5 linked regions of the Rattus norvegicus genome follow. The protein of the gene in region 2 purifies or fractionates together with the protein of the main gene of each other region. This does not show direct contact. Links are inferred from orthologs where the notes say so. Each region holds a gene or a part of one and is shown on either strand. Other genes may lie near its edges. The genes, in order: Cep290, Pnma2, Pkn2, Mark4 and Recql4.

The links.
Region 1: the proteins of Pnma2 (region 2) and Cep290 purify together in Homo sapiens (co-immunoprecipitation; 3 studies listed by BioGRID and IntAct, with this or other methods). This does not show direct contact. The link is inferred for Rattus norvegicus from reciprocal best matches to the Homo sapiens genes PNMA2 and CEP290.
Region 3: the proteins of Pnma2 (region 2) and Pkn2 purify together in Homo sapiens (affinity purification with mass spectrometry; 3 studies listed by BioGRID and IntAct, with this or other methods). This does not show direct contact. The link is inferred for Rattus norvegicus from reciprocal best matches to the Homo sapiens genes PNMA2 and PKN2.
Region 4: the proteins of Pnma2 (region 2) and Mark4 purify together in Homo sapiens (co-immunoprecipitation; 3 studies listed by BioGRID and IntAct, with this or other methods). This does not show direct contact. The link is inferred for Rattus norvegicus from reciprocal best matches to the Homo sapiens genes PNMA2 and MARK4.
Region 5: the proteins of Pnma2 (region 2) and Recql4 purify together in Homo sapiens (affinity purification with mass spectrometry; 3 studies listed by BioGRID and IntAct, with this or other methods). This does not show direct contact. The link is inferred for Rattus norvegicus from reciprocal best matches to the Homo sapiens genes PNMA2 and RECQL4.

The regions. Positions count from the first base shown.
Region 1 is NC_086025.1:37,282,140-37,287,561, reverse strand, and holds the end of Cep290 (centrosomal protein of 290 kDa), read right to left. Parts: intron 3,295-5,422; coding exon 3,215-3,294; intron 3,018-3,214; exon of another isoform or gene 2,750-3,017; coding exon of another isoform or gene 2,702-2,749; exon of another isoform or gene 2,427-2,701; coding exon 2,199-2,426; 3' UTR 1,689-2,198; downstream 1-1,688. Other genes in the region: Rlig1 (RNA ligase 1), read left to right, coding at 1,500-1,688. UniProt on the Homo sapiens protein: Involved in early and late steps in cilia formation. Its association with CCP110 is required for inhibition of primary cilia formation by CCP110.
Region 2 is NC_086033.1:45,289,363-45,294,691, reverse strand, and holds part of Pnma2 (paraneoplastic antigen Ma2), read right to left. Parts: intron 3,071-5,329; 5' UTR 2,942-3,070; intron 2,664-2,941; 5' UTR 2,321-2,663; coding exon 1,226-2,320; 3' UTR 1-1,225.
Region 3 is NC_086020.1:234,495,617-234,501,865, forward strand, and holds part of Pkn2 (serine/threonine-protein kinase N2), read right to left. Parts: intron 3,831-6,249; coding exon 3,713-3,830; intron 2,538-3,712; coding exon 2,392-2,537; intron 2,302-2,391; coding exon 2,088-2,301; intron 1-2,087. UniProt on the Homo sapiens protein: PKC-related serine/threonine-protein kinase and Rho/Rac effector protein that participates in specific signal transduction responses in the cell.
Region 4 is NC_086019.1:88,232,640-88,239,488, forward strand, and holds the start of Mark4 (MAP/microtubule affinity-regulating kinase 4), read right to left. Parts: upstream 3,915-6,849; 5' UTR 3,891-3,914; coding exon 3,840-3,890; intron 1-3,839. UniProt on the Homo sapiens protein: Serine/threonine-protein kinase. Phosphorylates the microtubule-associated protein MAPT/TAU. Also phosphorylates the microtubule-associated proteins MAP2 and MAP4.
Region 5 is NC_086025.1:110,304,488-110,309,653, reverse strand, and holds part of Recql4 (ATP-dependent DNA helicase Q4), read left to right. Parts: coding exon 1-145; intron 146-230; coding exon 231-357; intron 358-438; coding exon 439-564; intron 565-664; coding exon 665-766; intron 767-1,819; coding exon 1,820-1,912; intron 1,913-1,987; coding exon 1,988-2,124; intron 2,125-2,387; coding exon 2,388-2,471; intron 2,472-2,540; coding exon 2,541-2,729; intron 2,730-2,808; coding exon 2,809-2,988; intron 2,989-3,058; coding exon 3,059-3,200; intron 3,201-3,281; coding exon 3,282-3,544; intron 3,545-3,686; coding exon 3,687-3,933; intron 3,934-4,010; coding exon 4,011-4,140; intron 4,141-4,221; coding exon 4,222-4,391; intron 4,392-4,464; coding exon 4,465-4,645; intron 4,646-4,725; coding exon 4,726-4,885; intron 4,886-5,063; coding exon 5,064-5,166. UniProt on the Homo sapiens protein: An ATP-dependent DNA helicase which unwinds dsDNA with a 3'-overhang in a 3'-5' direction. Does not unwind more than 18 bp of dsDNA. May modulate chromosome segregation. The N-terminal domain (residues 1-54) binds DNA Y-shaped DNA better than ss- or dsDNA.

The sequences.
Region 1 (5,422 bases), on a different chromosome or scaffold from region 2:
CCTGATGGAGATGTTCAGCCAGGCACTTCTATACCGGATGTTCTTCCGAGGTAAAGTGATAGCACATTCCCTCCTGGGAACTCGTGCACATTGTGTTCTCTCATCCATGCTGTGCCTAGTGTAATTCAGCACTTCCCCAACTAACTTATTAGAGAATTTGTTGAGTAGAAAAGTGCCCAGTGGCAGCTTACACAGAATGAATTACCTTACCCCTTTGTGCCCTGTCCCCTGGACTTGTCTGATTTCTCACTGGCATATGAAATTCATAATGTTCAAATCTGAGTCTTTGCACTCCCATCTCCACATTACTCACTGAAATTAGAAGCCGCTGTTCACTGTTTAAGTCCTCTTGCCATTACTTCAGACATCTGGCCACCAGTTCTTTAAAGCTCTCATCATTGAATCTGTTTTATATTCAACTAGGTGCTCGTTTTAATTTAGGCTAGTATGCAAATCAGTGGCTTGAATTACTCTATTGCCCCCTAAAGCACTCATCTTTCATTTCTGCACATTCTTCACAACTGACTCATTACTTCCTGCAAAATGCTGTTGAGGGACGGCGAGACTTGCCGTGACACAGCCCTTCTCAACTTCCCATCACTGGCTCCCATTGCCATCTGGGCAAACACACGCTGTCTGCTTGTGTGACTGTCTAGTTCTAGGGAGGTAGGAACAGATGCCCACTTACCATGGATAAAGTACAGACCCCGTAGTGAACCAGGGACATCGTTGGGGTTACTTACAGGAATATGGGTAAGGAGCTACTTCCCAGCACGGAGGACCAAAGGCTGCAGGATCAGTCAGTCAGGAGCTCTCCCCGCTTGAGTGACGACACAAAGCAGTATCCTGGGGACTCCCCACACATTTTGCAGGCAGCTCCCAGCTGCTGTGGTGGGAGGAGAATCTTCTCTCCAGCAATTGTAACCTTGCAGAAAGTTTTGGGAATCTTGACAGTTTTAGGGACCTTCCTGAGACTTGTGAAGTTTGTTTACTTTCTGGGTCTTAAAGGGGCTCCATCTAGAGGGCACGTTTTCATGTGGAGGAAACAGCTATCTGACAGTGTCCCAGCCAGCTGTGATCCAGACTGCCCTACCAGTCAGTCTACCACGAATATTCCCTTTGGTGACAGACATGTCTGGCTCACATTTTTCTTTCTTTCTTTTCTGTAGTCACCAACAGACTCTACTCATTAAATGTTTAGGAAGCAGCTCCTGATTTTGTTAGTCATTTTCAGGAATTAGCAGAGTTAACAAAGCAACTGCTCTGCCTTCAGGAAGCTCAGATTCGAATGGGGAAGGCAGACAGCACTGACATTTAATGATAGCTATGACATTTAATTAAAATAAGTAAGAAAAGGTGGACCCTTACATTGTACCTGGTAGGTAGCAGACACCCGAAATAAGTATTTACAAGTAAGCTACAATGTAATTTACAGACAAGCAAGTTACGATGTAATTTACGGACTAAAGTTAATACCACCATTTTTTTTCTCCTTACAGGTCCACCGCCACCATCTTGGTTTATGCTGGCCACTTCCGGATACCTACATGAACTCCAAACCAGTTATTATTAACATGAACCTGGACAAATATGACTGTGCTTTTGATCACCAGTCTTTGTTTAATAAGTTTTCAAAAATAGATAAGCAGAAATTTGATAGGCTCAAAGATATAACCCTTGATATATAAAATAGAAATAATAGTTGGGACTGTTGTGATTTTTTTATTGGGACAGGTTTGCCATGTTTACACAGGTCAATTTATTTTTCCTAGCTGCTTGGCAAAACACATGTCAACTTCTAAACATGTTTCTATGTATTTATAGAAATCATCGTTAGGTTTGAATAACTTAACACAAAAATAAGTATAAAATAATCAATTTTAAATAGTAAGATTGTTATAAGCTTACCTTTATGCTTTTAGAGAATTTAAAATATGAAAATAGGAAATATTTATCATAGCTCATTATATACTATATAGTCATAAATTTTTGTCGTAGCTCATTATATACTATATAGTCACAAATTACTGAGGTCTTCAAAAATATACTTTTCTAACAAGTTAAAACTAAATATGATTTTATTTTTAAGCAAAATAATACAGTATTTTGAGAGGTAAATTCTGTAGGTCAGAGACTGATTTCCAGCTGAAACTTCTATGTCATCAGTAGTTTTAAATCTACAGTTTTAAATGAGGCCATTAATAAATCGGGACGCCATTAGGACTTTCTCCATCTTCCCGTTGTTCAGAAGCAGCAAGTGGGCTAGGCAATTCAAATCCAAATTGTTCAGAAAGTTTGTTTAACTTCTCTTCTAAGAGAATATTTTTCTTCACTTCTTCCTTATAATTGTACTTCAGGTCTTCAATTTCTTCAAAGAATGAAGGGTCAAAATTTTCCAGTTCTTTTTTCAGCTTTTTAATTTCCTCCTAAAAATTACATACAGGATACATGTTTTTGGTTTGAAATTTAAATTTGATTGTAAACACGAAAACTCAAAATCTTAAATATTTTTCTTTATATTTTACCGTTCAAGGTTCCATTGTACCATGTGCATAATGTATAAGCTGCCATCTTTGGCTTAATTTTAAGATTGGATCTTTAAACTGCCTCAGATATTCTCAGGCAAGCTAAAAGGATTTTGCTTTTTACAACATTTAAGATTTTTCAGTATTTTTAATGTTCTGATTTTTTACCTTTCTATCTAATATTGATGATCACGGAAACTCTGGGACTTGTAAGAGTTGAGTACCTGGTGAAGGAGAGTGATGTGAGCGGTGTTTACACTAACAGCGGTGAGCAGCCAGGGCTCACTTCTAGCCATTGTGTTTCTGGAGTCTTAAGGGGGAGGACAGAAATGATTTAAGGTAAAGATCCCTGAAAATAATTTCAAGGTGCTTAAAAAACACCTTTTCCACCATGACCCACAAATTAAGAAAACAGTTAAAAAAAAAAAAAAAAAAAAAAAAACCCTAAGAGGGTTGCATTGGTTACAATTTAAAAATAAATTTATTCTCTAATCCTCTCTGTCTGATTTTTTGCTGTTGCCAGTTGTTTAATAAAAAGTTGTCATGAGTCCAATAATAATAAAGTAAATGTAAAATAAATCCATGGATTTTTAGGCACATACTTAAAGATGGTGATCATAAAAATTGTTTCCTCAAGCTGATTTCACAAAACGCTGAGCATACTAAAGTTAGATACAGAGAAGAATTACCTTCAAATGTTGCTTTTCTGGCTCTGACTTTCTGAGGTGTGTCTCCAGGTCATTTATCTTTTTCTTCAGTTGATCAGAATCTGCCAGAATAGCCATGAAAATTATGACATGTTTATCTTGACTATGAGTCAGTTAAAGATAGAGGATTTGTTTCAGAATAATCAGGAAACATGAAACCTACAGTCTGCCATGATCTGGCCCTGTATGGTGTGCAGACTTCTCATGGAAACTGCTCCCACTAGTAGCTATGGTCACAAGACAACAAGCAAGAGGGGTAGCTGCTAGGCATCAGAAATGTGGGTTATTCTTTTTTATATGAGAGAAATTCTTGTTTTTGAGAGAAAATCGTGCAACCAGTAAATTTGTTAAGTACTTGTATAGGCAAAGAACTAAAATGGCAAGCTGGCCATTTATACCTTCACACCAAATACCTTTGGCTACCGTATATAACTGTTTTACACTATATGCCAAATTTCTAAGACTGTGTGTGGCATAGATGAAGGAGTGCAGGAGGAAAAGGCTGTTGTCACACAGCACAAAGGCTAAGAAATAACAGTGTCATGGCACTGCAATCTTTGAGTTTTGTTTTAATGCTAAAGTTTGATGAAATGAGGAAAAAAAGTTTTCATAAGGACAGGAAGTGTACTGGAGTCCTCTATAACTCAAAGACAGGGGACAAAGAAGGTTTCAAATCAAACAACAATGCATTTTCCTTTTGGAGGCAAAAAAAAAGAGTCGCCCTTGTATTTTCATGTCCTATCTCATGTAAATCTCAATTCTACAGATGAAGAGAAGAGAAAATATTTGTATTCCTAAGACTGACCTATATTATTGAGTAAGATGACCTGTAGTCATTTATTCTCATACAGATATTTTTATGACTTAATAAAAATTAAAGAATTTTATATCACATTTTATCAGTGCATCTGTTGATGGACAGAGTAGCTGATCTTATACCCTGGCTACTGTGAGTAGTACCCCAGTATGCGCCGTCAATATGCATATCTTTATTAGTTTGAGCATAGTCACTGAGGTCTTGCACACACACTGTCGGTGAGATACTGCTTTAAGGAATATGTATAATGTATTCTGAAAGCTCTTTGATTGCCCTCATTTTACATGTTGATTAGGACATCCAAACAGACTGATTTTGAAGCAGAGTATTCTCTGAAATGCTTATCTTTTGGTCTTCCTTTACTTAAGACATAGGTAGTATAAGGGCTTTGGATTAGACAAATTAGAGACCCTCCTAACGTCAACAGAATTAATAGATCACTGGTACTGTGTTAAGAGCACACCAAGCTAGCAATCACACGTCCATTCTAGGTGGATGAATATTGGTTTTAGTTATCAAGAAGCACAGTAGCACAGGGGTTAAAACCATGGCATGGTTAGGAGTTCTGAACTTTCATAGAATTAATGCTTGACCTTCTTATGCCAGTTCCCAGTTGTCCTGATCTTGAGGACAGATGGGTTACTAATCATTTATCAAGTACAAAATAAAGACAACAATACTGATCCTATGACATTCTAAGAATAAAGTGAAAGTTTTGTAAATCCCTTAGCATAGTGCCTGGCACAAATCATATCACGCATTAGTAAGAGTGGCATCAGGACTCTACAGGAGCTCTATGAAATAGTTCTAGATTATTCAGAATGTAAGATTGGTGTAATCCTGTAGAGTAGAACATGACACCACTTTATCACACTATCAGATAATGGATGGCACGATTGGGTTAGGAGGTTCAGTGTGGTTATGCCAGAAGCTTTGGAACTATGCTGAGCATGGACCCTGGGGTAACCTGCTCACTGGTATCCATTCACTAGCATACTATGGAGTTATTAAAGACATGAATGGTGTACACATCTTAAAAGGTCTCAGTAGTACATTAAGAGCAGCTGGAATTATAGTGTGCATCCAGAAAAAATACACAAAACTCAATATACATATAAGATCTATTCCCGTTTTAAAAGTTTTTGATAAAAAAAATTAGCAAATAGCAAGCCATGGATCCTAGGTGAAATGAAAATATATTCATAAATATACATGCTCAAATTGTCATCTTAGATTCTACAAACAACTCATCCTCATATTTTCTTTAGTTTCAAAAATAGATGCTCAGTGGTCTTAAGCTACTGAGTATGGCTAAATTAAAAGTCTCATTAAAAGTGTCAGAGCTGGGACTCAATCTCTAGCTGGGGACACAG
Region 2 (5,329 bases):
GACATTTCATGGTGGTTCTGTAGTGGCTGTATAGATAGCAGGGATTCTGGGAAGGAAAAGTATATGACCTCATTAAAGGGATAGTTATTCTTCCCATCTCATTAGCATAGAGAAGGTGAATCTGCCTTCCTGATGGGCAGTCCACTAGCCAGGCGATGAACCTGTCCAACTGGATTAACTCATGCTGTGGTTAGCCTGCAATGGTATGTCTCTGCTTAGACCATTCTTCTGACCAGAAGGCAACGGTTTTCTCTGAATGAGATTCAGAAGAGCCCTGACTAAGGCTACTGTAAATTCTCCCCTCTGATGAGGTAACCCTAAAATCATTTAGGAGATGGGCTAAAATTGGGGAACAGATATAAGCCATTTTATCATGAAAAAATCTATGGACCTAATTCTACAGCTATCCACAAATGGATTAGTGTCTGGCTAAAGGTCCCACCCTCAAGTGTAACCCTTAGGAAGGGGACAGGACCAGAGAACCAGGGATACATTGGGAATGCCTAGAAACTGCCCGGCCTGTTTCTTTCCTTCCTAAGGTTTTGTTTTTATTTTATGTGTCTGGTCTGCATGTATGTGTATGTGCCACATGTGTGCAGTGCTTAAAGAGACCAGAAGAAGAGGTTGAATCCCCTGAAACAAGAGTTATTGATAGTTGGGAACCACCGCATGGGTACTGGGATCCCTTCAAAAGAGTAGCAAGTGTGTTTAGTTGCTGACGAGTAGCTCTTCAGCCCCTGCCTGGCCAGTTTCTATCTCCTGTTCACATTATCACTCCGTCTGAAGAGACTGACAAGCAACTTGACCAACCAAGCTGTCTGGCCAACCCTTGTGTAGGAAACTAAGATTCAGGAGTTTTAGGTATTGGAACTTAGTCTTGTATTTTTTTTTTTTTTTAACAATCTAGTTAGAGTCCCTCAAACTCCAGGTTTTTTTTTTTTTTTTTACCTCAGAAAGAAAAACAAGATGGAGCTCTAGTGGTAGTATATTCCTCTAATCCCAGAACTCCAAACTTGGAAGGCTGAGGCAGGAAGAATACCAGTTCAAGGCCAGCCTGGGCTATAAGGTGAGAACCTATCAAAACCAAAGAAAAAGGAAAAACAAAAAACCCCAAAACCTTCATTCCTAATGCTTGACTTCAGTCCTGCACTTTAAAGCAAAGTGCACTAGAATGGGATTAGCCTTGTCAAGCATTACCAGATCAGAAATGGAGTAGGGATGTCTGTCAGTTGTTCCTTGAATTGTCCCAGCGGCCAGAGCCCTCCCTTTCCCCTGGCTCCTCTCTGCTCTCGTGTTCAAAGTAGGCCTCTTCTTCTTCCTCCTCACGGACCACCTTCATCAGCTGCAAAAACGTGGGCAGTGGGCCCTGATCCTTCAGCTCCCGTAGCCTGCACCAAAGAACGTTGCTAAGGTTGGCTCCAGCCATGACCTGCTCCAGACGTACCTGGTCAGCAATGTTCCGGGGGATGGCCCTTTTTTCCACAGCTCTCCGGAGCAGAGTCTCCAGCCGGAGCACATAGGCTGAGATTTTCTCTCCTTCTTGCTGATAGGTTTTTAGGTATTTGACCTGTGAGGTTCTACGGCTCTCCATGCTCCCAAACACCTGCTTAAAGGCCTCCAGACATTCTTCTGCACTGATAGAAGGGTTGTCTGCTTGTACTATGTGCATGAGGTCCAGGGCAGGGCCACGGAGGCTCTCTGTCACCCACCTTTTCTTTTCTGTCTCAGGGATGGGCCACTCTTTGGCTATCTCAGTGGCCTGTTCCAACCAAACCTCAAAGGGCTCCTCCTCTGGGGCAGCTACTGTGCTCCCAGAGAATACTCTCAGCTTACAGTACCTCACAGGCAACAGAGGCCTCTGGGCGTGAACCATTGCCTGCCCTACCAAGTGGGCCAATAACTCGGGGGATGTGCAGGGTGTGGTGGCTGGAGACACTCCCTCATGCTTCAGGGCTCGGAACATCCCTGCGACCGTCTGCCCTTCTTTTTCTAGAAAGAGGTTCAGTCTTTGGAGAAACTCAGTGTCCTGATTAGGGGTCTTGAAGATCACTTTCCAGACACCTCCCTTTCCCTGCACCTCACTGGGAACCACAGACATATCCGTGTCCTCCATAAGTTCTAGTAAGACAGCACTGGTATTGTCTTGCTTCTGGAGTATTTTGCCCAGTAGCCGGTAGCTGCCCACACACTTCAGCGCCTCCTGTAGGACTGTCTGGACCTCAAGCTCACCACAGTTCACAGGAATGCCAATCACCAGCAGGGACTTCTGGACATCCACACCCATGATCTTGCACCACTCCTCCAGCAGGGCCACTGCCATTGTCCCAGGGTGTGCTTTTGCACTTGGTCTCCAAGCCGCTCAAAGTCTTGTGGACCAAATGCCTTGTCTCTTCACCCAGTAGCAAGAACCAGACGCTCCCTGTCTGTCTTCAGACCCACAGCAAGGCTGATGGTAGGTAAGGTGGGCTGTTGCTCTGCAGTACGTTTGCTGCTGTTTCCGAGGGTTTGTTGTAGCTGTGTGGTGTTGACTCTGGTCACTGTGAGGCACCTGGAACAACAGTCTCCTGGTTTCTGTCACCTCACCTCTCTCTCTAATCAGTGGGTAGGTGGTGTCCACTCTAGCACCCGACGCTGGGGACTCACACAGCAGGAAGCAAGGACTCCTAGGGAAACAGAGACTCACTTTATACATAGCCCTCTATGTCCCAGGGTACACCCACACTCTAGTGTGGGGTGAAACTAGGAGTGGACCAAGGGCTCTAACTCCCACTGTGCTTGTGCCTACCCCACTCTGGTGAATCCCCTTTTTTGCCGACTGTACTTTTTCCCTGTGTGGACCAGATAAAATCCAGTCTTTCCACCCTGAAAACCCCGTCAGTGAGCAGGATTCAAGACCTTCACCCTTCATCAAAAGGATGAATTAGCAGATGTAGTAAAATACCTGTTTATGTGTTCCAGAATGTTCTTCAAGAGTCAAGGAGCCACGTACTCAGCTTCCAGATCAGGAAGATGTCACACACCTCTATACAGTAGTATACATGTGTCTTACCTTCAGCCAAGTCAAGCTGTCCTGTTATACAAACATGAATAACATGTTTTTAGGCCTAAAATCTAGTAACAAAGATTAATGCCCTTATTAAAGACGTAACAGTTCAGTAAAGGATGAAAGAAATGACCGTCCTCTGAATTTAAAGGAGCAACCTAAACAGGACAGTGTCACTACACTTCTTTGAAGAAAGAGTTGTTCAGGGGATGCTCCTCAGTTAGCAGAGTGCTTGCCTGGAAGAAGCCTTTAGGCAGCCTAGAGTCCAATTTCAGCACCATACAAATTGAGCAATCATTGGTAATACATCCCTGTAATCCCCACACTGGAAAGCTGGAGACAGGAGGATCAGGAGTTTCAGATCATTCTTAGCCACAGGGAGTGTGAGCCAGTGTGGGCTACATGAGAACCATCTTTAAAAACAAATCCAACCGAATTGTGTTTGGTGGCACTCCCAGCATTTGTGAAGTTGAGGCAGGAGGATTGCAAGTTTGAAGTGAATCTGGGCTACATAGAGACATCATGTCTCAAAAGAAGACACAAACAAAACTAAACAGAATCCATTCAAACACTTAAGACTAACTAAACATGGGTATAGCAGAGAAAATTCAAATCTCAGAAAAAGAAGTACACTTTGGAGTTACAAGTCAGTCCTCTTCAGGTTTTGTGTCTAGCCAGACTTTTTCAAGGGCCACACATGGAAAGTCACCCATCCAACTCCCCCTGTGGTGCTTTGAATGAGAATGGGCCCCATGAGCTCATGTATTCAAATGCTTGGTCCTTAGCTTGTGGAACTGTTTGAGAAGGATTTCGGAGGCGGTGCATCACTGACAGTGGGCTTTAAGATTTCAAAAGTCCATACCATTCCCATGGTCAATCTCTGTCCCATGCTTGTGGATCAGATATAAGCTCTCAGCTACTGCTCCAGCACTGTACCTCCCTGTCTGCCATACTCCTGGCCAGCATGGATATGAATTTCCCCTCCGAGACTGGAAGCCCCCATTAAACGCTTTCTTCTATAAGTTGCCTTGGTCATGGTGCTTTAGCAAAGAAATAGAAAGGTAACTAAGATGTTTAAATTTAACATTGTCATTTAAATTTGACTGGGCCATTGAGAAAAAGACAAAAGGCAGAAAACATATTCACCACTAAGTGATGTGTGCCCCATGCTTGCTTTGAAGGGCTGGGGAGAACTAGAAGTGTAAAAGGGGATGCTCCCAGTGACAGTGTGACCCCTTAGCCACGAGGATGCCTTCAGAGAAGCAGCTTCCTAATTGGCTAAAAGTCACAGAGTGCCAACACTAGACTGTGCGTTCTTATGGGGCCCATGTGGTATGCTACCTGATATGTTGTAATTTGGAGCTTGGCCGTGCCTCTCAGACACTTGTAGAGGGTATGTTAGGGTGCTACAACCATCCCCCTTTGGCCTGGACATTTCCCATGACTCTGAAGGAGGCCATATGCCATAGATGCTGGCCTTAACTATGGCAGCAGTAGGAGCAGATCCACTCTTCCTGGAAGGTGCTGAAGACTGGGCCTCTGTGCCAAAACCGGGAGAGCAAGGTGCTACCTCACCCTGTGTCTGACAGAATGGGGGCCCAGAACTTCAGACCAACCCAGGCCTGAGATCTCCTTGTAAAATATGGGAATGAACTTCCTCCCCATATTCATTCGCTTGGAGTCACTTGGAGGAATGAGAGATGAAATGAGCACTGCAGGGGTAAGACTGTAGCTCAGTTGGTCGAGTGCTTGTCACTATGCACAAAGCCTTGAGTCGGATCCCCAGCACTGTGCAAACCAGACATCGTGGCGTATGCCCATTACCCCAGCACTTAGGTAGTGAAGGTAGGTGGATCAGAAGTTTAACTCACTAGGCTACATAGGGAGTTTGAGGCCAGCCTGGGGTTACATAAAGGACCTTTTCTCAGAAAGAGCAAAAACAAAAGAGACATACCAGGCAATGGTGTCATGTGCCTTTAATCCTAGCATTTGGAAGGCAGAGGCAGGTAGAACTCCGTGAGTGAGTTCCAGGCTAGCCTGGTCTACAGGGTAAGTTCCAGGACAGCCAGGGTTTTTACACAGAGAAATCCTATCTTGAAAAACTGAAACAAAACAGAAAACGAACAAACAAGAAAGAAAAACACAGCCAACCAATGGCACTGGATGCCCAGATCCAGAAAAAAATTGTCACGTGAAAATCCACTAGTCTTAAAGGCCCCACGTGTCTGGAGAGACTGCTCAGTGGTTAAAAGCACAGGTTTGGTTCCTAGCACCCACATGTTGGCT
Region 3 (6,249 bases), on a different chromosome or scaffold from region 2:
AGACTGATGTCCTGACCTCCTAAGCAGGGCAATTTTCCTCACATGGTAATGATTCATTCAGTCACACCCATATAATAAAGTCCCAATAAACACGAGGGCATTTAAAGCTCAAGAGAACTGCCTAGGTGCTGAAAGACACTGATGTGTTAGTCAGGGCGACTGATCCTAAGAAACAGGGAGTGCCATGTTTAAGAACCTGCAAGCATTTTCCCTTTGGCTCATCCTACCCTCTCCCCCATCCACTTTAAATTAACTTTTTAGGCTAGCATCCTAATGAGCTTCATCCCGGCATTTTCAAACACCTGTGTCAGTGTACCTGCCTCTTACTCACTTCCTCCCCGTGCTTCCTGGCCCCCTTGGCTGGGTCCCTTCATCTCACCCTCTTCTGTTTTATTACAGCTTTCACTCTTTTCTTCTACCCTCCTTCAAGAGCTCTTCATTCATTCTCATGATCCTTTTTCTAGTTTTATCTCTTCCACACACACAACATATTCTTCAATCTATGATCCCACATAAGTTAAAACATGTGGTAATTGTCTGAGTCTAATTTGTATCCTTTATTATACAGCTGTAATGGTAAGTATAGCTCTTCATGGGTTTGATAGAACTCATGTCTCGGAGAATGGAGTGAGCCTAAGGCTCTGAAAATTTGCAGTCATCTGTCAGAAGTACAGATGACCTGGAAACTCTCTTATAATTATATGTCCGAAGTAAAGGCAAGCATATAGAATAGGCTTATAAAATTTAACATAATTTCCAATAATTAGCATTAGAATTTATTATATATTATTGACAGTTATTATAAATATAAATGGATGAAACTACATAGTTATAAGACACTGACATAAGGTATTAAATGATCCAATTCTACCTTATCACAAAGACTCACATAACCAAATATGTATTTCATTAAGATTAAATAGGATACTTGCTTCACATAGTAACCACTGAGAGACTGGAGATGTCTAACTTAAAATCAGATAAGCCAGACTTGATATCAGGGTTTTTTTTATAAAAAACAAAAAAGAAGTTAATTCATGAAAGAGATATAACAATTATATGCATAGATACAACAAAGTCAAAAACTATGAAACAAACACATTGAGAACTGAAAAAAGAAAGAGACAGTTTCAGAAAACCAGCCAGGAATCTCTAGCCCACTTTCAATAATGGCCCTACTAGCATAGTTATAATAACTTGAAAATCAACAACAGAAAAGGAAATAACAAGTGCTTGTGAGGATGTAGAGAACCTCGACATGCATTGTTTTGGAGAATGTTAAATTACATAACACCTGTCAAAGTTTGATGACTGTTCAAATTTTAAATACAAAGGAATCATATGACCTAGCAAGTGCATTCCTAGATGTGTGTCCTTCTAGATTGAAAACAGGTGTTCCAAAACAAACAAACAAACAAACACCATACACAAATGTTCACAGAGGTATTATTCACAATACCCTGCTGGTAAAAAAAAGAACCTAAATATCCTTACAAATAAAACAGAACACAGTATAAAAGTGGACATCGTTCAGTGAAGATGACTAAGTGTGCCCTGTGAAATACGCCAGTTATGGAAGGCTGCAGAGTATATAATCCCATTTTAATGAAATCTCTAGAAAAAACAAATGATTGAGCCAAGAAGACGATTAATTGTGCTGGGGCCTAGGGAGAGGAGTGGCATTGAATGAGCACTGGTTTTCTTTTGGGTTGATGAACATGTTGCAGAACTTGACAGTGGTAATAGTGGTTGTATATTACATTGCAAGCCTCTTCTTTCATTCATAGGTTGAACCCTTGTGTATGCTAAGCAAGCTCTCTTCCAGTGTGTTACGTGTTTAAGGCAGGGTTTTACTGAAGCTGTCCAGGCAAGCCTTTAACTTGTAACCCTCTTGCTTCAGTATCCCAAGTAGCTAGGGATACTAGCTGTACTAGGGATACCATGCTGTACTATCAGTCCCAGCACATAGTAAAGTTTACTGTATGAACCTAAACTATAACTGAAGGGAAGTCCTGTACACATGCCTTTGACTCCAACTATTAACCATAATCTGACAGGAAGGAAACGAAGAGCCGCATGCTACACACCGGTTAGTGCTGCTGGCTTGGACAGTGTGCTGTACTGGTTCTGCGTGGACAGCATACTCTGTCGTGGACTCAGGGTTGGCGATGCAACAAGGGAGAGCTCCTCAATGACGACACTGCTTTTGGGGTGATTCTTGGGGAGTTCATTTAACCTCTGCTCTAGTGAATATTTTAAAAGGTCCAACTTCTGACTTGATTCATTAAATCTTGCTTGGGCCTTGTTTGGAAAAGAGAAGATTGTCATCATTTAAGCCAGGATATTCTTCAAATAACATAATAAACAGCTAAAAATTATTTTTAAAATTACTTCTGAAAGCGCTTTTCTGTCTGTTACTTTTCCTGAGCCAAGTAATTTCATGACATTCTTTGCACCTTCGGCTACTGCAAATTCTATCCTAAAATGATGTCTTAATTCTTCCATTCGAAGCTCAAGAGGGCTTATCACAGGTTTTGCTAGGATAAAAAAGAAAGAAAATCCATTTATTAATTGAATCATTTTAGTCTAGTAATTAAAAATATCAGGAAAAAAATGAATTACTGACATTAACTTAGTTAAATCAATAAACACAATAGTAATAAATAAAAGGTTGAAATATAGAATGTTGTTTTAGCCAGCCATTTTACATCTAAATCACACTCTGTCAAAAGGCTTTAGGCCTGAAGACACTGCTATATATAACTTAATGATATGGAAACACAGTGGATTTCCACACTAGCAAGCTCCATACTAGTGCTCAACCACCCCTGGAACAAAGTGTTTGAGGGAAAACCAGGTCTGAACCAATAATGTGAGACTCCGCTCTTGATAACAGTTCCTAGACAGTCCTCTATTTCCATTGTGTTGACACTGCACTAGCTGTGACAATCGATCCACAGATGCCTTAGAAGTACAGGAAAGGACACACGAATACTCTCTACAGCAGACACTATGACTCATTCCACTTACGACTTGAGCAGCCATAGCACTGACGGGGGACTTGAAACCAATGTGCAGACGCTGAGAGACAATCGTAGCCTCTGGCTCTACGTTAACAACTAGCTCAAGAGTCCCATTGGAATAAAGACATAAATAGGAAAAGTGCTAAAGAAAGGAACACTCTTAAATAGCAACCCACTTCTTAAAGCATTAGCTAAAAAAATCTGGTTCCTTATTGAAATGAAGAAATATGTTCTGCACATGAAAAACAAAGGGCAAATATGTAAAAGTGATCATCCCAAGTAAAAGTAAACAAAAACTAACCTCCCAAACTGAAACTTTTCTTCCCCCTTAACCCTCAGTGATTGCCTCTTTTCCCTTTTTAAAGTTTTGATATATCTTCTTAAAGACTTTTCTATTTTATGTGCATAGTTTTTTTATTCTGTCTTTTTGCTTGCATGTATGTATGGGCACCATGTGCATGAATGGTATTTACAGAGGACAGCAAGGTTCCTGAATCCCTGAGGCTAGTGTTAGAGATGGTTATGAGCTGCTGTATGTGCTGGGAATCAAACCCAGGTTCTTTGCAAGAAAAACAAGTGCTCATAACTGGTAAGCTGATTCTCTAGCCCCAACTGCCTTTTTTATGATGACATTTATTTAGTACTCTAGGCTTGTCAAAGACAACAACAATTTAAGTGTAGTCCATCACCATTATCAAAAGCCAGCTCATTGGTCTGGACGGCCTGAAGAATCTGCATTCGGATGACTTCTATTTTTGTCTTGCTATCCTGGAGCAGTTGCTGAGCTGTACCATGGAGTTTCCGATCCTATCAAAAATGAAAAGGTAAGAAGAGAAAAGGATAATTCTTTCTTATATTCTGAATAGATCAACTGATAACCTAGCAATTGAAAGGGTTAGAAGAACTATGCACAATCTAATAATAATGTTTGATTTTTTGAGACAAAGACTTACTATGGTGTCTTTGTTGGCCAGGGATAGACACTCACCTGCCTCTGCCACCTGCAGTGGTGGAATTAAAGATTTGTGCCACCACATCTGGCTACACACACACACACACACACACACACACACACACACACACACACACGCATGCGCCACCAAGACTTTTTTTAAAGTGTTATAGAAAAACAACTTTATTGGTTGTTTTTCTTGAGAGAAAATAAGTGAATCTTACTTATTGGCTGGCTGACTGGTTACAATGCTGGGGACTGAGTCCAGGGTCCGACCCATAATAGTTGACTGTTCTACCATTCGACTTAGCTACATTTCCAGCTACGTATCTGAGAGGTATAAAGTGTTTGATTCATATATAAATATACCAAAATGACCACTATAAGCAGAGTGATATATATCCATAATCTTCTAGGTATGCTTTTAGTGTATATGTATCCTAAAAGAACTAAAAGCTATACCTCTAATATTTTGTTTTTGAGCTACACTATTCATCTTCTCTATAGACCTATTCATCTGTCCTAAAAACCTGTAGCCCAGGACCCACTTATTCCCATTTCTCCTCTCACATTACCCTAGCACCAGGGATACCACTTTCTTTTCAAGGATCCACATACAAATGAGATCACACAACATTTTTTCTTTCGGAGCCTGGCAAATTTCATTCGACGTGAAGTCCTCTGGGTTTAGGTATATTGTTACAAATATAAAAATGTCATGTTTTAAAATTAAAAATTATTTAATTTGGTCTCTTGAGATAAGAGTTTCTCTGTGTAGGCCTAGCTGCCCTGGAACTTGCTATGTAGGTGGCTTCAAATTCAGAGATCTGTCTGTCTCTACCTCCCAAGTGCCAGGATTAAAAGTGAATGTCACCATGCCAAGTGAAAAATTAAAATATATTGTTGGTGGTAATGGTGATGATAGTGGTGTGTGTGTGTGTGTGTGTGTGTGTGTGTGTGTGTGTGTGTGTGTGTGTGTGTGTGTAGGCATGCATGTGGTGGTCCAAGGACAACTTTTAAGGAGTAGAACTCTTGCTCTCACGGGATCCTAACACTGCACTCAGATCACGGCTGGACAGCAAGCACTTTCACCTACTGAGTCATCTTACCTGCACTAGAATCTCCCTTTTAAAGTCAGCATAGTATTTCATTGCATGCTGTATGTATATCATATAGTTTATCCATTCATCAGGTAGTGGACACTCATTTTGAATACCAGTAATATTTTCAAAAACTCAAAATTGCTATTTTCCCCATCACTGTTTTAAACCAAAGAGGATAAATGTTTCTTTAGCATGATCAATAATAACTCTTAAAATCAGAAGTCATTATCTAATGTTTACCTTAGTAATGAAACTTCAAACAAATTTTAAAAATTCTTCCTGTCTTACTAAGTTCTAGTTAATGACTGGAGGGACGGCTCAGCATTCAGAGCGTGTTACTTTGCTCTGCAAACTCTCTACCAGAGTTTCTGCCTAGTCACCAGGGCACCTATTGCTGCCCCCCTGCCTCTGCTGGGCTCCTGTACTCACATGTGAACACCCGCATACATATCCACATAATTAAAACAATAGACACAAATCTTTAAGTTTGAGTTACAAGTTCAGAAAGTGTCAAATACATGGGCAAATATTAATTAGACACAATATTTGTGTTCCCTTAAATTAGACAAAAGAACAAGAAACAGAAAAAACATTTTTTCTTTTCTTCTGCTTAAGTGTTAAGAATATGTTTGCTCTGAAACTCATAATTTAATCTGACATGAATCAAACTGTCTCATGTGTGAAAATGACTTTCTGAAAGCTGTTAGTTTCTTCCAGACTGTAAAGGGAGATACTGTTCTCTGAATACAGAGCTTCAGCGTGAGCTAATACTAAAATTATACCACCCACTACGTAATTATAGTTAAAAATATTTCATAGCAACAAAAGGATGGTTCAGTATTCAACTTTAAATGTAAAATTATCACTAGTAAGAAAACTATGTAATGCTATGCTTTCCAATAAAACATCACCTTCATTATTTTATCACATGATAATAGTTTGTTCTCTCTCTATCTCCCTTTTCCCCCTCACACCATGTTGAGACAGCTTCGTATGTATCCAAGGCTGGCATCAAACTCATTCTGTAGCTGGGGAAGGCCTTGAGTCTTGTCTCCAATATGCCTGGTTTATGCAATGGTAAACAAGTGAAAAAGGATTGTGCGTGGGCCTGGCAAGCACTGTATCAACCAAACTATGTCCTCAGCCCAGAGGCTCTGTAAACTATTTTAAT
Region 4 (6,849 bases), on a different chromosome or scaffold from region 2:
GCCCCTCACTGGGGGATTCTAGGCAGGGGCTCTACCACTGAGCCCTGCCCCCAGCCCCTCACTGGGGGATTCTAGGCAGGGTCTCTACCACTGAGCCACGCCCCCAGCCCTTCAATGGGGGATTCTAGGCAGGGGCTCTATCACTGCATTATGTCCCCAGTACCCACTTCTTTCTTGCTCTCCTATGGAGGTCAGAGGTCAGTTTTGAGCATCTCCCTCTATTACCCTCCACTGAAACACTCTCCTCACTGAACCTAGAGTCTGTCGTGTCAGTTAGACTGGTTGGCCCTAAGCACCTGGTATCGGCCTAGCTCTACTTGCCCCACCCCCCACCCAACACAGGCGTGTCCCACCATGCCCAGCTTTTACGTGGGTGCTGGAATCTGAACCCAGGTCTTCTTACTTGCATAGTAAGCACTTTACCCAGTGAGCCATCTCCCCATCCCAACTCCCAGCCCTCATTCTAATTTAAATTTTGAGATAAGATCTTGAAAACTTGAAATCCTCCTGCCTCGGTTTCCCCAGTAGCTCACAGGCTTACTCCGCTACCCCTACTTCCCATGTGGCTTTCACTGGGAGGATGATACCATTGCCAGGTCATGTACAAACAGGTCTCTCACCTACACTCTGTTCCCAGCCGAGGCCAGGGAGGGAGGCCCTGAACACACACAGGCTAGGGAAAAACAAAGGCTAGGATAGACAGGTGCCAGCTTCCTCACAAGGACGAAGCCCAACAGGCATGTCATCCCAGCTACTTGGGAATCAGAGGCAATCTTTTAAACTCAAGGTCCATCAGAACAATGTAGTGAGTTCAAGGTCAGCCTAAGCAACTCAGTGAGATACTGCCTGAGACAAAAAAAAAAAAGAACTGAGGAGATAGTTCAGCAGTAGAGAACTTGTTAATTAGGGGCTGGGGGCGTGGCTCAGTGGTAGAGCCCCTGCCTAGAATCCCCCAGTGAGGGGCTGGGGGCGTGGCTCAGTGGTAGAGCCCTGCCCAGAATCCCCCAGTGAGGGGCTGGGGGCGTGGCTCAGTGGTAGAACCCCCCCCCCCCCCCCCCCCCCCCCCCGCCTAACTCTCAGTACTGTGCTGTGGATATGGTGGGCAGAGCCCTAGCCCATGGTACATCCCTAGCACAGCCAATAAAAATAGGATTACCCCGGGCTGGTACCTCACCCTCACCTGTCCCCGGCACATGCCACTCGTACCCCAACTCCTGTGGGTCCAGCTAATGTAATCATTCTCAACCCCAGACTTGGAAGGATTCCCCAAGGCTCAAGCAGGGAAAGTGCTCCAGGCTCCTGAGCATTGATCCCCCCAGATGCCACCACTTCAGCTCATGGCTCAGGGCCCCAGGAGCAGCAGGCTGGTGGTAGAGATGGAAGATAAGGTCTCTGATCCCTGCGGAGTTAGGAGCCTGGAGAAGAACCCCTGTTGGGTGCTGACAGGGGGCTCCCTCAGAAGCAGGAAGGCACTGCACTGAAGGCTGCAGGGCTGAGGGACCCCTGCAAGGGGGTAGCTGGGGCAGGGGATGACGAAACCCCCTGGGGTCAGGGGCAGAAGCTAAAATTGGCCCGCACCACCAGCTGGCCCGGATCCCTCCTGACCGACAGACTGGTGCCTGAACACTGCGCCTGTTGCTAGGGAACATAGGGAAGCCGGCCCGGTCTCCACAGCTCTATTAGTTGGTGTAGAAGAATGTGACCTTTTGTGGGTATCACAACGGTCAGCAGGTAGCAGGGGAGGGGTCTATAACCTCAGACTGCAGAAAGAGACCGATGTCACTCCAGACGAGACAAAGTTATCTTCATAGACTGGAGTCAAAAGACACAACGAATCACCTCAGTACCCTCACTACACCCCAACAATCTCAGGAACGCAGGGGAGAGGCTCAGAGAGGTGAGGTCACTGGCCTGAGGTCACACAGCAGTGCGATGTGAATCTGAGTTTATTTGAATAATTAAGGTAGCGATAATCACAACATGTGACCTGAAGAAGTCCCTGTCAGGGAGGTGCCCCCATCAACCCACTGACAAGGAAACTGAGGCTGGAGCAGACTCTGGGAGCTTGTCTGACGACTAAAGACAGCTGTAGTTGAGAACACACCGCCTTCTGACTCAGATCCCCAGTCATGCCAGCAGCCAACAGCCATGAGCGCCGCCTATGTACCAGCCTTCACCCACATGTCTCCGGTAATTCTTTGGGGGACTCAAGTCGTTACCCCCCAACCCCTCCAACACACACACACACATACTTTCCAAGGCCGGAATCAGGCTCAGAGAAGGAAGCCTCTTCAGGCTTTACAATGTAATCTGGCCCATGGAGGCAGCATTCGAATCCAAGACTCAGAAACCGGGTTCCTCTCTGGAATGACTGGGGAAACCATAGTGGGTGGGCCTGAGTGAAACCTCCAACTTGAAACCTAGGCCAACAGGGTACAGGGGCAGAGGGGCAGAGAGGCATTATCTAATAGCTACCATGTGCATTAGAAACAGGAAAAGCTTCAGGGTGTACTCAGGAGGCAGAGGCAAGTGGATCTTTTTGAGTTCAAGGCCAACCTGGTCTACATAGAGGAACTCTGTCCAAAAACAAAAGTGTGTGGCTGGGCTGTGTTGAAGGTTGGTGAGAGGGTGGCCGGTAGAGGAACCAGCATAAGCGAGAATGGATCGGTGGGCTGACTTAGACACCTGGAAAACTGTCAGAATTGTGGGAAATGCAGGATGGGGAGCGGGGTCCTGCCTTGCCTCCATGAAGGAAGACCCTGGCATGGGAAACGGTGCAGCCAGGAGTCCCCAAACCAGAGGATCTGGGCTCAGTAAACTCCCAGATGTCAGGGCTAAAGACCCAGGCAGGAGGAGGTCAAAGGCATGGGCAGAATGAAGGGAGAAGGGAAGGCCTAGGGTCTGGGGGTGGTGGGGTGGTGGTGGTGGTGGTGGTGGTGGTGGTGGTGGTGGTGGTGGTGGTGGTGTTTCCTCCAGAAAGCCCAACATCCAGGAAGGAAAGGGGCTCTAGTTAGAAGGGAGTTGTGGGGAGGGGATGAGGAGGTGAAATTGGGGAGAGTCTCAGGAGGAGCCAGAGTCAGTCTGGCCTGGGGCCTGGAACCCTAGCACAGGATTGGAGCCTGCAGGTTAGAAACCAAGGTTTTCCTTAGGAAGACTGGACGCGCCTGGGTCGCATCTAGGGGACCCCAGAGGCGACAAGGATCCAAGGACAGAGTAGCCTGGCACAGCAGGGTCAGGCTAGGGAGTAGAGACACCTTGAAGGAAGCGGGCAGGGCCCTGGGCCCAGGTGCCATTTGGCTTCCTGGGGAGGCAGCTCTCAGGAGCCCAAACAGATCTGGGGACTGGCCAGGGGTAGCAGGGAGAGCCAGCACCCCGACTCGACAAGAGGCAGGGAGGACAGCAGGGCCAGGCCGGGTCGGGCCTTGCGAGGGGGATGGGGTAGGGGGGAGACAGGGCTGCGCCTCGGGGAACAGGGGCCCATGCCATCCGGGAAGAGTCGAGGCCAGACTGCGGGCGAGCGAGCGAGCCGGGGACTACGGGGCAGCTGAGGAAGGGAGGGGCTGCCGGTGGGCAGGGGAGGGGGCTTCCTGGAGGGAAGAGACCAGGCGGAAGCGCTCTGCAGAGGGACCGGAGAAGGGTCCAAAGACAGGGGCGCCCCTAGGGGTCGGGCTGGGCTGGGGCTGTCGGGAGGAGGGAGCGGAGAGGCCTCAAAGTCATGGGAAGCGTCGGTCTGGGATGTGGAGCCGGGAAAGGAGTCAAGACTGGCGGGGTCAGTGGTCCGGGAGGGGTTCTATGGCTGGACTCAGCCAGGGTTCCCCAAGGGGCTGGGCCCCACTCACCGTGTCCGAGTTCCGATCGTTGCCCGGGGCCAGCGCCGTCCTCGAAGACATCTTCTTTGGGGTCCCAGGAGGGAAAGGGACAGGGGCGGCCGGGTGGGGGGGGGTGGGGATCTCGGGGTCCCCTCTCTTCCCCTCCCCCCCCAGCCGACCTGGGGACGCGAGCTCAAAAGCTGGGCGCCTTGGACGCCCGAGTCCTCGCTGAGCGAGAGCGAGAGAGGGCAGGACGGGGGAGGGGAGAAGACACAGAGGGTCCTAGTGGCCCCGTGCAAGGGGAACCCGGGGCGCCATCTGGGCAGCGGGCAGACAGGAGGGTGCACGGGCGGGGGCCGGGGAGGGGGCGCGGAGCCGGCCCGGGGCGGCGGCGGAGGGAGGCGACCGAGGGGCTGGGGAGGAAGGGACGTCAGGGGGAGGGGCGCGGTGGGCGGGGTCAGTTGAGACTCCGCCCCTGCCGCCGGCTCTTAAAGGCACAGGCCTGGGCTGGCTCCCCGGTTCTGGGGGCGGAGGCAGGTCTGGGCGTGCCGGTCTCCAGCAAGTTCTCACAAGAGAATCAGAGTCAGCGGCAGAGAGTTGCTGAGGAGAGAGTAGAGGGAGATGTTGAGAGATGGGAGAGGGGACACACAGACGCGAGGTGGGAAGAAGCAAAGTCACAAAGAGGGACAGAGAAGCCAAGGGCAGAGACAAAAGGATCAGGACAGAAAGGGGACAGAGACAGGGACCGGGGAGACACACACACACACACACACACACACACACACACACACACACACCCCAGAGAGAGAGAGAGAGAGAGAGAGAGACAGAGACAGAGACAGAGACAGAGACAGAGACACAGAGACACAGAGACACAGAGACAAAGACAGAACGGAGATAATCAGGCGCCAAGGCAGAGGGAACTAAAGAGACAAAGAGAAACTCCAGGACTGGAAGTCTGCCGAGGAAAGGAATAAAGGAGTGGCAGCAAGAAAGGAGAGAGAGAGAGAGAGAGAGAGAGAGAGAGAGAGAGAGAGAGAGAGAGAGAGAGAGGCAGGCCTGTGTGCCTGTCATCCCGATTGAGAGAATGGGTTGCAGTGAGTTCTAGACCATACACAGCAAGACCCTATCTCAGAAAAGAAAAACCAAAATTGGAGGCAGTCCCTGGGGTGAAGAAGATCAGGGGTTCAAGGACATCCTGAGCTTCAGCCCTGGGTGCAGCAAGGGTAGATAACTGGCCAGCAGCCCCGGCTGTCTCACTTTCCCAGTCTGTACAATGAAGGAGAGAGAGCCTCACTTGCCTGCCAAGATAGCTGGAAGCCCAAACAGGTGTTGACTTGCAGGGGCATACAGACCCGGGTGTGGGGGGTGGGGGTGGGGTGAGACTGTGCTGAGAACACACAGTGCCTTGTGGGAGGAAAGGGGGGGGATGCATCACCCTGGCCCAGAGCCCATTGTCTCGCTGTCTTAGAAAGTCTTCCTGAGCCTCAGTTTCCCTTTGTGAAAATTAGATGTTACAAGCATGGTGGTATCCTGGAAGGTTTGAAGTTCCAGATCATCCTCAACTCCATAGTGAGTTCAAGACTAGCCTGGTCTATATGAGACCCTATCAGACAGAATAAAAGCCACAAGAGACAAAGGATAGCAGCCATGTGCTGGAGCTAGCTCGAGCAAGCTGGTTATAGGACTGGCTACTAAGCATAAACACTTTTAAAAGTTAAAAATGGGGGCTGGGGATTTAGCTCAGTGGTAGAGCGCTTGCCTAGCAAGCACAAGGCCCTGGGTTCGGTCCCCAGCTCCGAAAAAAAGAAAAAAAAAAGTTAAAAATGAGGTGACACAGTGGTTAAGAACACTGACTGCTCTTCCAGAGGTCCTCAGTTCAAATCCCAGCAACCACATGGTGACTCACAACCATCTGTAATAGGGATCTAATGCCCTCTTCTGGTGTGTCTGAAGATAGCAACAGTGTACTCAGAATAAATAAATGAATCTTTTGTAAAAAGTTAAATCATGCAAACATGCAAGGAAGCGAATTGTATTGAACTGGGGCAGGGTGCACTAAAGATGTGGCTCAGCAGTTAGGAGCACTGGCTGCTCTTCCAGAGGACCTGGGCCCAGTTCCCAGCGCCCCCATGGTGGCTCATGACCATCTGTAACTCCAGGTCTAGGGGACCTGACACCTTCTCTGGCTTCTCCAATAACTACAGATGCGTGCACATGCTTGTGTGTGTGTGAGTGTGTGGTGTGTGTGTGTGTGTGTGTGTGTGTGTGTGTGTGTGTGTGTACAAATTTGGAAGTCAGTTGTCTCCTCTCTCTGTGAGTCCCCAGGATCAAACTCCGGTCACCCACCTTAAAGGCAAGCACCTTCACCGCACCCCGCCACACAGCTAACCCTACTCATTTATTGATTTTGAGACCAGTTATCATATAACCCAGGTTCTCCTCCGTTGAGGTTGGCCTTGATCCTCCTACCTCCACCCCGGAGGCCTGAGACTGCAGGCGCGAGCACCACACCCAGTTATAACTCTGGGAGTTGTTTGTTTTTCTTTTGTTTTAACTGAGGAGTTTGAGATCACAAGTCTCCGCTACCACAAATTATGCGGTCAATTTCACATTGGGGAAATCGAGGGGTCAGCAATCCGAAGAAGCCTCGCCCACAGAAATCCACCTTTCAGTCACAGTAACTCCCCTGCCAGTTAAGTGTTTTTTGAGACAGGGTCTCCTTCTGTAGCCCAGACTGACCTTGAACTTCAGGCCAACCTCTTGTCTCCACTTGCCAAATCCCCACAGGCATGAGACAAACATGATCTCAATATATAGCACAGGCTCACCTCTAGCTTTCAATCCTCCTGCTTCAGACTCACAAGTGCTAGGAATTTGAACCCTCATCTCTCTCTCTTTTAAATATTTATTTATGTATTTATTTTATGTACATGTGTACACTGTATCTATCTTCAAACACACCAGAAGAGGGCATCGGATCCCATTACAGATGGTTGTGAGCCACCATGTGGTTGCTGGGAATTGAACTCAGGACCTC
Region 5 (5,166 bases), on a different chromosome or scaffold from region 2:
GACAGAGAATGCTAAGAGTGCGGCCCACCTCCCCATGTCCCCTCGGCCAGCTTCCCTAGACAGAGGGAACTATGTTCGACTTAACATGAAAACCAAATGCTTTGTACGAGTTGGGGCCAGTCGGGGCAGGCTTCTCCGAAAGCAGGTGAGATATGCCGAAAGGAACAGGCCAGCCCTTCTCTCCTCCCATCCACTCCTAATTGGTTCTTCCATTTGTGGCCCTTCTCCAGGTATGGAAGCAAAAGTGGAAGAAGAAACAAGAGTGGTTTGGGAAAAGTGGACCCAGGGCCACAGTCAAGGACACTTGTTTCCGGTGTGGGCAGTTTGGTCACTGGGCATCCCAGTGTTCCCAACCAGGTAAGCCTCTGCCTTAGTATTGGATCATTTAACCCCCGTGGGTGCTAGGGAATCACGTACACAAACGAAAGGCTCCAGCAGCTCTTAACCCTGGTCCAGGCTCCACCCTGACCATCCAGCCAAAAGGTGACAGGAATGACAAACATCCCATTTCCACGTTGGGGGGAGTAGCACAGAAGACTGGCACCACTTCCTGTAACCACTCTGGTGAGTCAGGGGGGATGTGTGATGTGACCTGTGGCCATTATGCCAGGATGGTCTCTGTCTATTCTGGTGTTCCCATATCGCCCTCTCTTGCCTATCTTAGCAGGTGAGGAAACTGAACCTGCTGGACCAGTGCTACCGGTGCCTCATTGCCCCACGCCAGTGTTACCCCTCTACCCACCAGGGCCCTTGGGACAGGTAGCAGGTGAGTGAGACTTAATGGTCCAGACGTTTTTTTTTAAAGATGTATCTATTATATATAAGTACACTGTAACTGTCTTCCGACACAGCAGAAGAGGGCATCAGATCTCATTACAGATGGTTGTGAGCCACCATGTGGTTGCTGGGAACTGAACTCAGGACCTCTGGAAGAGCAGACTCCTTATCAAGACATTGTAGGGCTGGAGAGATGGCTCAGTGGTTAAGAGCACCGACTACTCTTCCTGAGGTCCTGAGTTCAAATCCCAGCAACCACGTGGTGGCTCACGACCATCTGTAATGAGATCTGATGCCCTCTTCTGGTGTGTCTGAAGACAGCTACAGTGTACTTATATATAATAAAAAAAAAAAAAAGACATTGTAGTTAGTGTCCAGTTGCTGTGAAGAGACATCATTACCAAGACAACTTTTTGATTGTTGGGTTTTTGAGACAGGGTTTCTCTCTGTTGTAGCCCTGGCTACCCAGAATTTACTTTATAGACCAGGCTGGCTTCACACTCTTAGAGATCTGCCTGTTTCTGCCCCCCAACCCCCAAGTGCAGGGTTTAAAGGTGTGAGCCACCACTCCCCTGGCAACCACAGCAACTCTTATTAAAAAAGCATTGGAGGGGCTGGGGATTTAGCTCAGCGGTAGAGCGCTTGCCTGGGAAGCGCAAGGCCCTGGGTTCGGTCCCCAGCTCCGGGGGGTGGGGGGGCATTGGAACTGGAACTGGTGGAACTGGCAGACTCAATGGGTTGGGAGCCTGCTTACCATTTCAGTAGCTAAACCCATTATCATCATTGTGGGAAGTAGAAAGGCAGGCTTGGTGCTGGAGAAGGAGCTGAGACCTTTTCATCCTGATCCACAGGCAGCAGGCACAGAGACACTGGACTTGGCCTGGGCTTTTGAAACCTCAAAGCCCATTCCCAGTGACACACTTCCTCTATCAAGGACACACCTCCTAACCCTTCCCAAACAGTTTGCCAAGTGGGGACTGAGTATGCAGACTTGAGCCTGTGGGTTTATTCTCAGTCAAATCACTGTAACTTGTGTCCACAGACACCCCTGCTGAGGTATTCCAAGTCCTGGAGCAGCTAGGGCACCACACCTTCCGCCCTGGGCAAGAGCGTGCTGTCATGAGGATTCTTTCTGGTAGGTGTGGCTGCCTAGGAACTGTACAGTTTGTCTAACCAGTTGAGCCTCATAACTGCCTCTTGTGCTATTCAGGCATCTCCACACTGTTAGTGTTGCCCACGGGTGCTGGCAAGTCTCTGTGCTACCAGCTTCCTGCACTGCTCTATGCCAAGCGAAGCCCCTGTCTCACACTGGTCGTCTCTCCTCTCCTGTCACTCATGGATGACCAGGTATGTGGACGAGCTCTCAGTAGCGGGAAACTCTGAAAACTGACAGCCCTGGGACCCTTAGGTGCTTCTTGTTCCTGAAACACACCAGTTGACCTCTTTCTGAGGGTGACACAGCCTAATGCCCACTGTTCTCCATCTGGTCCCTTACCTCCGCTTCTCCAGGGCCCAGTGTCAGACGCATTTGTTTCAAGAGGGCTAAGTATCTGAGAGCATTCAGGGGAAGAAAGTAGCTTTACTGAGCTGTGACAGCATTGTCTCTCCAGGTGTCTGATCTGCCTTCATGTCTGAAGGCGGCCTGCCTCCACTCAGGAATGACCAAGAAACAACGAGAATCTGTCTTGAAGAAGGTCAGGATGGCCCATGGATGGGGGGGTGGGCATCCATCTACACAGTCCCTCATTCTTTCTTCCCTGCAGGTACGGGCAGCCCAGGTGCATGTGCTGATTGTGTCCCCAGAGGCCTTGGTGGGATGCGGGGCTAAGGGTCCTGCCAACCTCCCCCCGGCCGCTCAGCTGCCTCCAGTCGCCTTTGCCTGCATTGATGAGGTCCACTGCCTCTCTCAGTGGTCACATAACTTCCGGCCCTGCTACTTACGTGTTTGTAAAGTGAGCTTCCGTCTGGGTCAGGGTGGAGGTGGACTTGGACCCAGGTGGGCTAAGTGACTGAACACTATCCCTGGTTCAGGTACTTCGGGAGCATATGGGTGTGCGCTGCTTTTTGGGTCTCACAGCCACAGCCACACGAAGCACTGCTCGTGATGTGGCCCAGCACCTGGGCATAGCTGAAGAGCTTGAGGTCAGTGGGTCAGCCAGCATCCCTGCCAATCTGCACCTCTCCGTGTCCATGGATCGAGACTCAGACCAGGTATGTGTGTACATACCAGGGACCCTGTTAGAAGCCCATAGCTGTCATGTTAATCATTCCCTATTGCCAGGCTCTGGTGACACTGCTACAAGGTGACCGCTTCCGTACCCTGGATTCGATTATCATTTACTGTGCTCGACGAAAGGACACAGAGCGGGTGGCTGCCCTCCTCCGGACCTGCCTGTCCACAGTGAGAGATTCAAAGCCAAGAGGTAGGCACACGCAGGGTTCGGCCCCTAGGAACCCTTTCCTCTGCGTGCTGGCTATGATCTCATCAATCATTGGTTTTACAGGCCGTGGCCCTGAGACTTTAGCGGAAGCATACCATGCTGGCATGTGTAGCCAGGAACGGAAACGAGTACAACAGGCCTTCATGCAGGGCCACCTGCGCATGGTAGTGGCCACAGTGGCATTTGGGATGGGACTGGACCGTCCAGATGTTCGGGCTGTGCTACACCTGGGACTGCCTCCAAGCTTCGAGAGCTACGTGCAAGCTATTGGCCGTGCAGGACGTGATGGGAAGCCTGCCCATTGCCACCTGTTCCTGCATCCTCAGGTTGGCAACCCCATCTCCCCAGACTAAGGGAGACCCAGGGTTACATTATTCCTCAGTCACTTCAGCCCCAGCTGCTATCTTGTTTTCCTGTCAGCTGCCACTCTGGGCACAAGTGTGATAGCTGTGTGCTGTCCCAATGCAGGGTGAAGACCTCTGGGAACTGAGCAGACATGTCCATGCTGATAGCACTGACTTCCTGGCTGTGAAGAAGCTGGTACAGCGTGTGTTCCCAGCCTGCTCATGCGCCCAGAGGCCTATGTCCCCACTTGAGGAAGTCAAAGAGCACAGTGGCCAACAAACATACCCTGTACTGGGACTAGCCTGCCGGGGCCATAAGCGGGCACTCCCAGTGCAGTCTACAGTACTGGCTCTGGACATGAAAGAGGAGGGTAAGGAGCCATGCGTGACAGGGGTTACAGGGAGAGGCTGCTGCTGCCACACCTCCTGAGCCTTTCTCTGCCTCTAGCCATTGAGACTTTGCTGTGCTATTTGGAACTACACCCTCGGCACTGGTTGGAGCTGCTGCCATACACCTATGCCCACTGCCATCTGCGTTGCCCTGGGGGCAGTGCCCAGCTGCAAGCTCTGGTCCACAGGTGAGCATATCTCACCTCAGGGAGGAGAAAGATAAAGAATCAGGGCTGCTGACCACATACTCCTTTGTTCCTTGGGCACAGGTGTCCCCCTTTGGCTGCATGCTGGGCCAAGTGGCCACCTAAAGACACAAGTCAGGGTAGCAGCGCCTTAGAGTTTGATGTGGTGGAACTGGCAGACTCCATGGGCTGGGAGTTGGCCTCTGTACGGCAGGCTCTCCACCAGCTGAAGTGGGACCCAGAGCCAAAGAAAGGTATGCCCACCACTACCCTGGCCTGGGTTGTGCTAGCCAGCTGTTCCCTTCCGACTGACACACTTGCCGACAGGTGCACCACAGGGCACAGGAGTGCTTGTGGAGTTCAGTGAGTTGGCCTTTCACCTGCACAGTCGTGGGGACCTGACAGATGAGGAGAAGGACCAGATCTGTGACTTTCTGTACAGCCGTGTGCAGGCTCGTGAACACAAGGCCCTGGCCCACCTACACCAAATGTCCAAGGCCTTTCAAAGGTGAGAAGGAGGTAGGCAATGGGTAGGTATACCCGTTCTGACCCCATGGGCAACTCTTGACAGGTCTGTCTTGTACACAGTGTAGCATTTCCCAGTTGTGGACCCTGTTTAGAGCAGTCTGACGAGGGGCACAGCAATCGGGTGAAGACCCTGGTCAGCTACTACTTTGAGGAGGAGGAGGAGGAGGAAGAGGAAGAAACTATGAAGGATACTCAGGATCCAAAACCTGGGCAGACCCAGGTAAGTGCCACACCTCTGAGGACAATTCCTAAAGCCAGGGACAGTGATGTGTCCCCATATAACGCTGACCCCACAGTCCAGCCCCTGCTTGGCTCAAGGTTTCCTTGGCTGCTCGGGGTGTGATTTTATGTAACATGCTGTGGAGGCTCAGGTGAGGTCACATGCTATCCTCTCACAGCTTCAGGATTGGGAGGACCAAGTTCGCCGCGATGTCCACCAGCTCCTGTCCCTGAGGCCAGAAGAAAAGTTTTCAGGAAGGGCTGTGGCCCGCATCTTCCATG